Mus musculus: one gene and its partner. The protein of the gene in region 1 binds, or shares a complex with, the protein of each later gene. Links are inferred from orthologs where the notes say so. Each region holds a gene or a part of one and is shown in the gene's direction. Other genes may lie near its edges. The genes, in order: Banf1 and Emd.

Region 1 (4,333 bases):
ACTGAGCCTTCCCTTTCCACACCCAGCGGTGCAATGGGAGCATTGGGAGGAGGACGGGAAGCCCGAGACAGGCGGCACTCACTTTCACTATTTGCTGGTGGTCAGAAGGCACCATGTGCTCCCCCAGCACCTCCTGCACCACATGCTTCCTCTTGCTGGCCTGAGACATGCTGGTTTCTGTCCAGGGTTGTTAGGGTGCACAGACTGTCAGTTCTTCTTCCAGAATTATTTGGATGCCAGCCTTAGAAGCCAGGACTGCTTTCAAGAGAAGCAGCCTTATACGAAAAAGTGCCACCTCGCCCTGTTAAAAACATGCACTTTAGGGGACAGCAGGACTTGCTGCTCTGGCAGAGAACCAGGTATGGTTTCCAGCCACAGGGGATTCAACGCCCTCTTTTGAGACACACATGCAGGTAAAAACACTAATACACATAAAACATGAATGAAATCATTGAAAGACAAATCACAGACTTAGCCAGGTGCTGGTGTATATCTTTATTCTTAGCACTTGGGAGGGAGAGGTAGGCAGAAATTTGTTGAGTCCTGGGCCAACCTAGTCTACATAGGGAGACCGTAAACCAAAAACAAACAAGCAGGACCTTCAAGGGCCAGGGAGATGTCCTATGAGCCAGCACCCACATCAGATGGTTCACAACCACCTTTAACTCCAATTCAAGGGCATCCACCGCCCTCTTCTGGCTTCCGAGGGCACTCACAACACCACCCATGGGGGACATCTTTAAAAAAAAAACAAACCAAACCAGGAAACACAGGTTTTATAGTGTCAGCTGAGACGTCAGGGTGGCTCAAGCCTTCGATCTCAACACTAATCCCAACCCACGGAGCACGGGGCCGGCCCTCTCAATAACAAAGAAAAACTAAGTAAATCGGCGAGATCACGGAAACTACCCAGCACAGGGCAAGCCCTGAGTCCTACGTCTCAGTCCTGTTAGGACGGCGACGCCTCCCCCTCCCAGGCCGATCGGTCATCCCGCCAAGCTCTCTGAGCGAAATCTAAGGTGAGCTGCGTTCCGCCACAGGCTTCAACACCCAAGGCAGGAGAGCCACACAACGACGGCCTCCCGACACATCCCAGGCACGGAGCGACCGACGCGGCGCCCAGCACGAGAGCTGCCCACGGAACTCACCCGCTCGGCGCCACACCAGCACGCTCCGCTTTCCAGGTTGACGGCGACAGTAGCTCGTCCACGACGCGCCTCGACAGCGAGGGACCAAAGAGCAAACAACTGTGACCTGCAGGTGGCCCCGACGGTAACGCCGGTCTGGACGCTCGGCCCCAATCCTCCGTTGTTCCTCCCTCCCGTCTGCCGGTCTGAGGTGACAGACCTGAGGAAACCGCGCCGGGAATTGCGATTCCGGGGCGCTCAGAGGTCCTCCGGATTTCCCGCCCCCTCTTCGTCCGTCCCTTTAACTCTTCCCTCCATCAAGTGAGGCAAGCCTAAGTTCCGAGTGCGGGGCAGGAAAACGCATTCTCCTCGGAGGTCTCGATCCCACAGACCGGAAGGGCCGCTGGAGAAACAAAAGCCATCGAAAGCCGGATGGCTTCTTGAGAGGAACCGGAAAACAGCGACCCCCGTGGGCGCCGCGGCTGGCGATTGCGCGTCAACTCTATGGCTCCGGGTAGCTAGACCTGCCCAGTTTGGGGATTAGTTTTGAAGGTCGCGCATAAAACGACCCGGAAGCGGAAGTCGAGGAACCGTCTCGTAGCTTGAGGTCTGGGCGGGAGCGGCCGAGTGGCGCGAGGAGCCGTTACCAGAGCCGGAGCCTCCGGTGAGCGTGAGAAGCGGAGTGGTGCTCCGGCTGGCGTGCGGTGGCGGCGCGCAGAGGCGGGAGGGAGGGGAATCCATCGCGGAGGCGCGCCTTTGCAGCGGGGCAGCCCGAGTCTGCGGGAGGGGCGATGCGCGGTGTGTCCGGGTGGCGGCGCGTGGAGGGGGCGGGGCGCTCGGAGCGGGGCGGGGCCTCAGGGCGGGGCCTGCGGGACCTGAGAGGCGTGGAAGAGGCCGGCAGCCCGAGTGAGGGCGGCGAGGCTGGCGAGAGCCGCGTGCTGTTCCTACCACGTGTTAGTTCCCAACGGGGTCAGTGTCTGTGTAGCCAGGGTCGCGGGCTGTGAGGGCTTCAGGGCGGACCTTGACTACTGAGTCTGGGAGTCGCTCTGTTGCCTTAGGTGCGCCACCAGCTAGTGCAAGCTGATATATCCAATATACCCAAAACCAGGACCCACGGAAAGTGGAAATTTCCGAATAGCCGGGGATGGGTTGGGGGGACTCAAGGGAGCAGCCACAGTAGCTGTGGTAGGATATTGCCCTTGGGACTTGTGGTCTTCAGCCCTAACCTACTTTTCTTTTTTTTTTTTTTTTTTTTTTGGCGGGGGGGATTCCCAGGTTAAGCCTGATCACGATGACAACCTCCCAAAAGCACCGAGACTTCGTGGCAGAGCCCATGGGGGAAAAGCCAGTGGGGAGCCTGGCCGGGATTGGTGACGTCCTGAGCAAGAGGCTGGAGGAAAGGGGCTTTGACAAGGTGTGGGGGGGCTGCAAATGCCAGGGAGGGGTAGGAGCGAAGGTTGGCAACAGGTGGTACCACGCAGATTGGGAGTGAGGCCCACACATGTTTGGGGGGTACCTGGGGAGGCATGGTGCCTCCTTCATTTTTGTGTTTTGTTGAGACAGGGCTTCTCAGTGCTAGGATTAAAGGTGTGGCTCACTGTCCCCTGCCCTTTTGTGTGTTTTAAATATCACGAAAATGAAACTAGGCATAGTGGATTGTGCTTATGACCCTAACACTTGGGAAGTTGAGCTAAGAGGATTCCCGTGGGATTTAATGCCAGCCCTGACAACAAAGGAACAAACCCTGTCTTTCTTTTTTTTTTTTTTTCGAGACAGGGTTTCTCTGTGTAGCCCTGGCTGTCCTGGAACTCACTCTGTAGACCAGGCTGGCCTCGAACTCAGAAATCCGCCTGTCTCTGCCTCCCAAGTGCTGGGATTAAAGTCGTGCGCCACCACTGCCTGGCAACAAACCCTGTCTTAATCAAAATAAAAATGGCCTTGCCCTCTGAAGTATTTACCACCTAACCCTCCCTAGCTTCAGAGATCTGGCCTCTTCGGAGTGGTATCAGCGTGGACAGTCCTGTTGCTTTAGCCCATGAGACACTTAGCCACATGCCCTTTTCTATTCTGCAGGCTTATGTGGTCCTTGGCCAGTTTCTGGTGCTAAAGAAAGATGAAGACCTCTTCCGAGAATGGCTGAAGGATACATGTGGTGCCAATGCCAAGCAGTCCCGGGACTGCTTTGGGTGCCTTCGAGAATGGTGTGATGCCTTCTTGTAGTGTTCTCTGGGGATCCCTCATACCCCAGCCACAGCACAGTTTCCAGAGTCTGCAGCAGGGCAGGGCTCCTCCCTGTCCTCCATAAAGGAAAAGATGGCTGTTGTCACCCTCACCTCCTATGTACTCCAGGGTCTATGGGGAGTTCTCTCCCCTCAGCGTTTCAATCTTTCTGGGATCGTTTCCCTTGCATGCCTTTCCCTTCCACCTCCCCCTGCAGTTCCGTGGCAGCAGTTACCAACTTTCCTGAATGGATTCCTGGCCCCCTTCTCCCTCACTATCTGTTGGATGCCCTTTGGCTCCTTTCCTTTTTTTGGCAAAAACAGTCACTGTCCTTATAAAAGATTTTTAAATTAATAAAATCAGTGGCCTTCATACTTGGTGTTCTGTGTCAGAGAGCAGATAGGCTGGGGAGTTGTGTATTCCCAGGGCTGAACACGTCTACTTCATTCGTTATCAGTGCAGACCGAAACTGGTGCCTTCTATTTCCCCTCCCAAGAGGGAGCCACCCTAGCCATGTGGGCTCTGGGCAGGTGCCCTGGGTGTCCCAATTCCTAAACATTGTGGGAGAGAGTGTGGGTTGGCTTTTTTCTCCTGGGAGCCAGGTAGGCTGAAGGCTTCCAGATGTCAGCAGTCAGTCTAGGCAGCACCTGGTGGAAAGTCAGTGGGAGTCAAAGGTACCAGGAAGCGGGTGGATGGGATGTGGGTAAGAGGTCACCTGCCAGTCATCATAGCATGTGCTCTTAGCGTCTGGCAAGAATGAATGGGTGGGACTTTTGCTGTTTGCCAAGCTACCATAGAAAAGGAAGGAAATGGTTAAACTTGAAAGCCAAATCCTACTTCTATTGTTTTCAAGCTCATATTGTGAGCCAACCCTGAAACTAGTATCTTTGTAAGCACTTATTACATTTTTTATTTTGGAATGGTAAGAGATTTGGAGCTTAGAAAGCTAATTTGCCCTTGAACTTTCAAGAAACTAGCCACTGGAG
Region 2 (4,391 bases), on another chromosome or scaffold:
GGGTCCACCTCCTCACCATTGCCTACTTTAAACTTCCATAGAGAAGTGGCCTGTGAACTTCACTAAAGTGTCATCAGGTCAACCTAGAACTGAGCAAAGTACTCACTATCACTATCACTTAAGACAACCTGTGGGTTACAACCCCTCTGGCAAACCTTGTCTCCAAAAATATTTACATTATGACTCATAAAGTAGCAAAAATTACCATTATAAAGTAGCAACAAAAATATTTTGTGATTGGGAATCACCACAACAGCATTAGGAAGGTTGAGAAGCACTGATTTAAGAGATCAGGCATCCTACACACTTTTTCTACGCGTACCCCTTCTTCTAGATCTCTCCAATAAAGGGCAGCCTACCTAGATCCACATGACTTTGTGTAGAATATAATGGTCATGGTCACTCTTCAAGGCAACCTTTCTCTGATCCAGATCCTTAGTAAGCCTCCATCAATTCCCATGGTTTGCCTCTAGGCCAGCAGTTCAGAACCTCTGGGGTCGCTATCCCTTTGGATCTCACATATCAGATATCCTGCATAACAAATATTTATATTTTAATTTATAGCAATATTGAAATTACATTTATGAAGTACAACACAATAATTTTATGGGTGGGGAGTCACCACAACATGAGGAACTGTATTAAAGGATTGCAGCATTAAGGAGGTTGAGAAATAGTGCTCTAGGCTTTGTACACTTGTCTAGGTCTCTAAGGTCACACCAAGCTTAGAGACTATTCTACTCAGCCAGAGAAGACCTCTCCCCCCAGAATTCCTCAGGGCCCAAGGTAGAACAGTGAGTATGGCAGGTACAAGGTGTACAGATCTACATGCATCACAGGGCAGGCAGGCAGGCAGGCAGGCAGGCGCCCTCTGATTGTGTGCATTGGCATACCCTGGACCTTTGGAAAGCTGCTTGATCCTGTAGTGCTGGTGGCCACTTGGCCCAGTGCTGGCCCCATTTCCTCGCGAATGGAACTAGGCATTAGAGAAGACGACGGTGGGAATGGGCCTGTGCAGGTGTGCAGGCCAGGGTCATGGAGACTGGGAAGACCAAAGGAGATGGGTAGGGAGTGCCAGGGCTCTGTGGGTGTCTATGTTAGGTGATGAGAGCCCTGTCTGACAGCATACAAAGAGCTCTCAGCAGCGTTAGGCGCTCTGGAAGGGTTCGCTCTCAGGATTGCTTTACACTGCTGTGGATCACACTGTGGCTGAGAATCCTAGGCACTGGAACACCGGGGGAATAAAATCAGGAATGAAGCCAGTAACAAAAGTATGTGAGATCTCACAGGTTGGGAAATCTCACAAGCCGGTTTTGGTCAAATCACTTGCCTCATCCCTAGTAAGTTGCGCTCTAAAGCATCCTCTAGTGAGGTCAGCCAGCTCCGCCCCTCGGCGGCCTAGCTCTCAAAGGAAGTCTCAACCGCTGCCGCACGAGTTCTGAAAGCTCCGCCTTCTCCCTGTTCGAGCCAATCTCTCACAAGCGTTACGTTTCTGTTTGCCAGCCCAGCCTGTTCCCTCAGCTAGACCGGTCTGCACCGGCCGTTCTGGCTAGTTTGGGCCTGCCCTGAGGAGCGCGCGCAACCTGCGTAGCCGCGGCTGTGACGCAAATGTGACGGCGGCGTGACGCGCCCACAGCCGCTCTTGAGGCTCTGGCGCTTCTTCTTCTAGGCTCCGAGCGGTTGGTTTCTTGGGCCCTGTCTGTAGGCCCCGGCCGCCCCTGGCGTTCAACACCGCTTCCAGGTGCCGGCCTTGTCTGCCATGGACGACTATGCGGTTTTGTCCGATACTGAGCTGGCCGCAGTGCTACGCCAGTACAACATCCCTCATGGGCCTATTGTGGGTATGCTGCACCCGGTGGCGCTCAGAACCTCTCTTGGTCCACTGCTTTCCCGCGCTCCTCCCTGAGCGTTCTCCCCACCTCTCCCTCCCCTCAAGTCCCCTCCCCGTGTTCCCTTGTGCTCTTGGGGTGCTCGGCTCACGCCCTCTGACCGCTTCGCACCCTGTGTCTGGGCAGGTTCCACTCGCAAGCTCTACGAAAAGAAAATCTTCGAGTACGAGACCCAGAGAAGGAGACTCTTACCCCCCAACTCGTCATCTTCTTCATTCTCCTATCAGTTCTCAGGTGAGCCCTTAACTGCAGAGCCCCAAAGAGCAGCTTGGGGCACACGTCTTAGGGAGGGAGGGTGTGGCCGAAGCTATTGAGGGAGTAGGGGGAAGGCTGGAGATCGAATGGTCCTGTCCCTCCTCCTTCACATGCAGACTTGGATTCAGCCGCCGTGGACTCAGACATGTATGATCTGCCCAAAAAAGAAGACGCCTTACTTTACCAGAGCAAGGGTAAGGCAGGTATAGGGTGGGCACTGATGTTTTTATCCCATGCTTCCGGGATTTGGGCACAGGGAAACCCCAGACCTCCCTCACCTCCTTGTACCAGTTCTCAGTGGCTTCAGAGGGGAGAAACTGACACAGCACACACAGGCTGGGGAGGGAGAAGAGGAGGCCAGTTAAGGGGCACCACTTTTTCCTCTACCACTGTTTTCCTCCCCAAGACTATAATGATGACTACTATGAGGAGAGTTATTTGACCACCAAGACATACGGGGAGCCTGAGTCTGTGGGCATGTCCAAGAGCTTCCGCCAGCCGGGGACCTCACTTGTAGATGCTGATACCTTCCATCACCAGGTGAGTTGGCTGGTAGGTATACCTGGGGTGCAGCCTTAGGGAATTCTAGGTTTGGATAGGTGCAGAGAGTGGATCTTAGGCTTTCAAATCTGGTTAGGGTCAGCATACAGCTGTCGGGTTAAAAATTCTATGTTGGAACCTTCAAAACTATTGGATTTGGGGATGCTCAGCAGAAGAGTATTTACCTATGGTTTCATCTCCAGCAGCACATAACAAATGTTTTGGGGTTTTGGCTTTTTTAAAAGATTTAATTACTTTAATTATACATATGTGTGGCCAATTTTTGTTAGTTTGTGGGTATTTCCCCCCCCCCACTTCACCCCCAGTAATGAAAAATTCCCAGAATTCCAAATATCACACAATTGTAGAAACTATCTGAAACTCACAGAAACACACCTTTGCTAAAAGCATGAGGCAACTCATAGTTAGCTGCTGTGAAGCAGCCCCATATTCCACACCTAAGATTAAAACAAAAACATATTCTTACAATATTTCTGTGTTTCTTAAAAAAGCCAAAATTCCAGAATTCTCACATACATGTCTGTGGGTAGTATGCATGAGTGCTGGCACCTACAGAGGTGAGAATTGTCATATTCCCACTAGAGCTAGAGCTACAGGTAGTTGTAAACTGCCTGATGTGTGTGCTGGAAATTGACCTCAGGTACCTAGGAAGAATAATATGTGCTCTTAACCAGTGAACCACCTCTTCAGCCCACAAACTTTTTTGATCAGAGAATATGTAACAGCTCCTGCACTCTAGTAATTAATCTACGATATAGATTTAAGCCTCCTGAGAATCCAGGGGAATAAAAGGATGCTGGAACAAAGTCAACAGGGTTAGTAACTGAGCAGCAAGGCCCCACAGATAAAGAGGCTCCACATACTCAGAATGGGGGAGGGGGGGGCAATTTTCTGGTCCCTATGATATGATTAGAGCAGGCTAGCCAGAGACATTTAAGGAAAACCATTCTTCCCCATTTCTAATCCTAATTATTCTGCAGGTGCGTGATGACATTTTCTCTTCTTTAGAAGAGGAAGGCAAGGATAGGTGAGTAGTGAACATATGTAGGGACAGGGACAAATTCGAGTCTCAGACTCTCCTGCCTACCTGTTGCCTTCTTTTGCCACAGGGAGCGCCTCATCTATGGCCAAGACAGTGCCTACCAGAGCATCGCACACTACCGCCCCATTTCCAATGTCTCCAGGAGCTCTCTGGGCTTATCATATTATCCTACATCCTCCACCTCTTCTGTGTCCTCCTCTTCATCTTCTCCCTCTTCATGGCTTACCCGACGTGCCATTCGGCCAGAGAAGCAGGCCCCTGCTGCTGCTCTGGGCCAGGATCGACAGGTCCCACTCTGGGGCCAGCTGTTACTCTTCCTGGTCTTTGCTGCCTTTCTGCTCTTTGTTTACTATTCCATACAAGCTGAAGAAGGCAACCCCTTCTGGATGGATCCCTAAGGGTATTGGTTTTAGAGCAGCTCTTACCAGGAGTTTTGGCTGATTGCCTTATCGGTGTTTGCTGGGGGTGGGGAGGGTAGGGGCTTTTTTGTGTGTTCTAGTTGGGTGCAAGGTCTAGCCTAAGGCAATGCTTGTCTCCCACCTCATCCTGCCAAGGAAGCAGCAAATGTTGGCCTTCTACAGCCCAGTAGGCCTACCTGTACCTTCCTCTGGAGCCTCCTAGCCCTATTGCCTCTGACCCTTAGG

The links.
Region 2: the proteins of Banf1 (region 1) and Emd are in contact, whole or in part, in a crystal structure (PDB 7NDY), measured with the Homo sapiens proteins. The link is inferred for Mus musculus from reciprocal best matches to the Homo sapiens genes BANF1 and EMD. Residues at the interface, in NP_001137457.1 of Homo sapiens: Arg37, Phe39, Gln48, Val51, Leu52, Lys53, Asp55, Leu58, Glu61, Trp62, Asp65; in NP_000108.1 of Homo sapiens: Pro22, His23, Gly24, Pro25, Val27, Ser29, Thr30, Arg32, Leu33, Tyr34, Lys36, Lys37, Glu40.

The regions. Positions count from the first base shown.
Region 1 is NC_000085.6:5,364,026-5,368,358, reverse strand, and holds Banf1 (barrier-to-autointegration factor), read left to right. Parts: upstream 1-1,482; 5' UTR 1,483-1,791; exon of another isoform or gene 1,792-1,925; intron 1,926-1,995; exon of another isoform or gene 1,996-2,096; intron 2,097-2,402; 5' UTR 2,403-2,418; coding exon 2,419-2,541; intron 2,542-3,200; coding exon 3,201-3,347; 3' UTR 3,348-3,726; downstream 3,727-4,333. Other genes in the region: probable RNA-binding protein EIF1AD, read right to left, coding at 83-169. UniProt on the Homo sapiens protein: Non-specific DNA-binding protein that plays key roles in mitotic nuclear reassembly, chromatin organization, DNA damage response, gene expression and intrinsic immunity against foreign DNA.
Region 2 is NC_000086.7:74,253,193-74,257,583, forward strand, and holds the start of Emd (emerin), read left to right. Parts: upstream 1-1,494; 5' UTR 1,495-1,759; coding exon 1,760-1,841; intron 1,842-2,015; coding exon 2,016-2,123; intron 2,124-2,260; coding exon 2,261-2,338; intron 2,339-2,550; coding exon 2,551-2,684; intron 2,685-3,685; coding exon 3,686-3,732; intron 3,733-3,814; coding exon 3,815-4,145; 3' UTR 4,146-4,391. UniProt on the Homo sapiens protein: Stabilizes and promotes the formation of a nuclear actin cortical network. Stimulates actin polymerization in vitro by binding and stabilizing the pointed end of growing filaments. Inhibits beta-catenin activity by preventing its accumulation in the nucleus.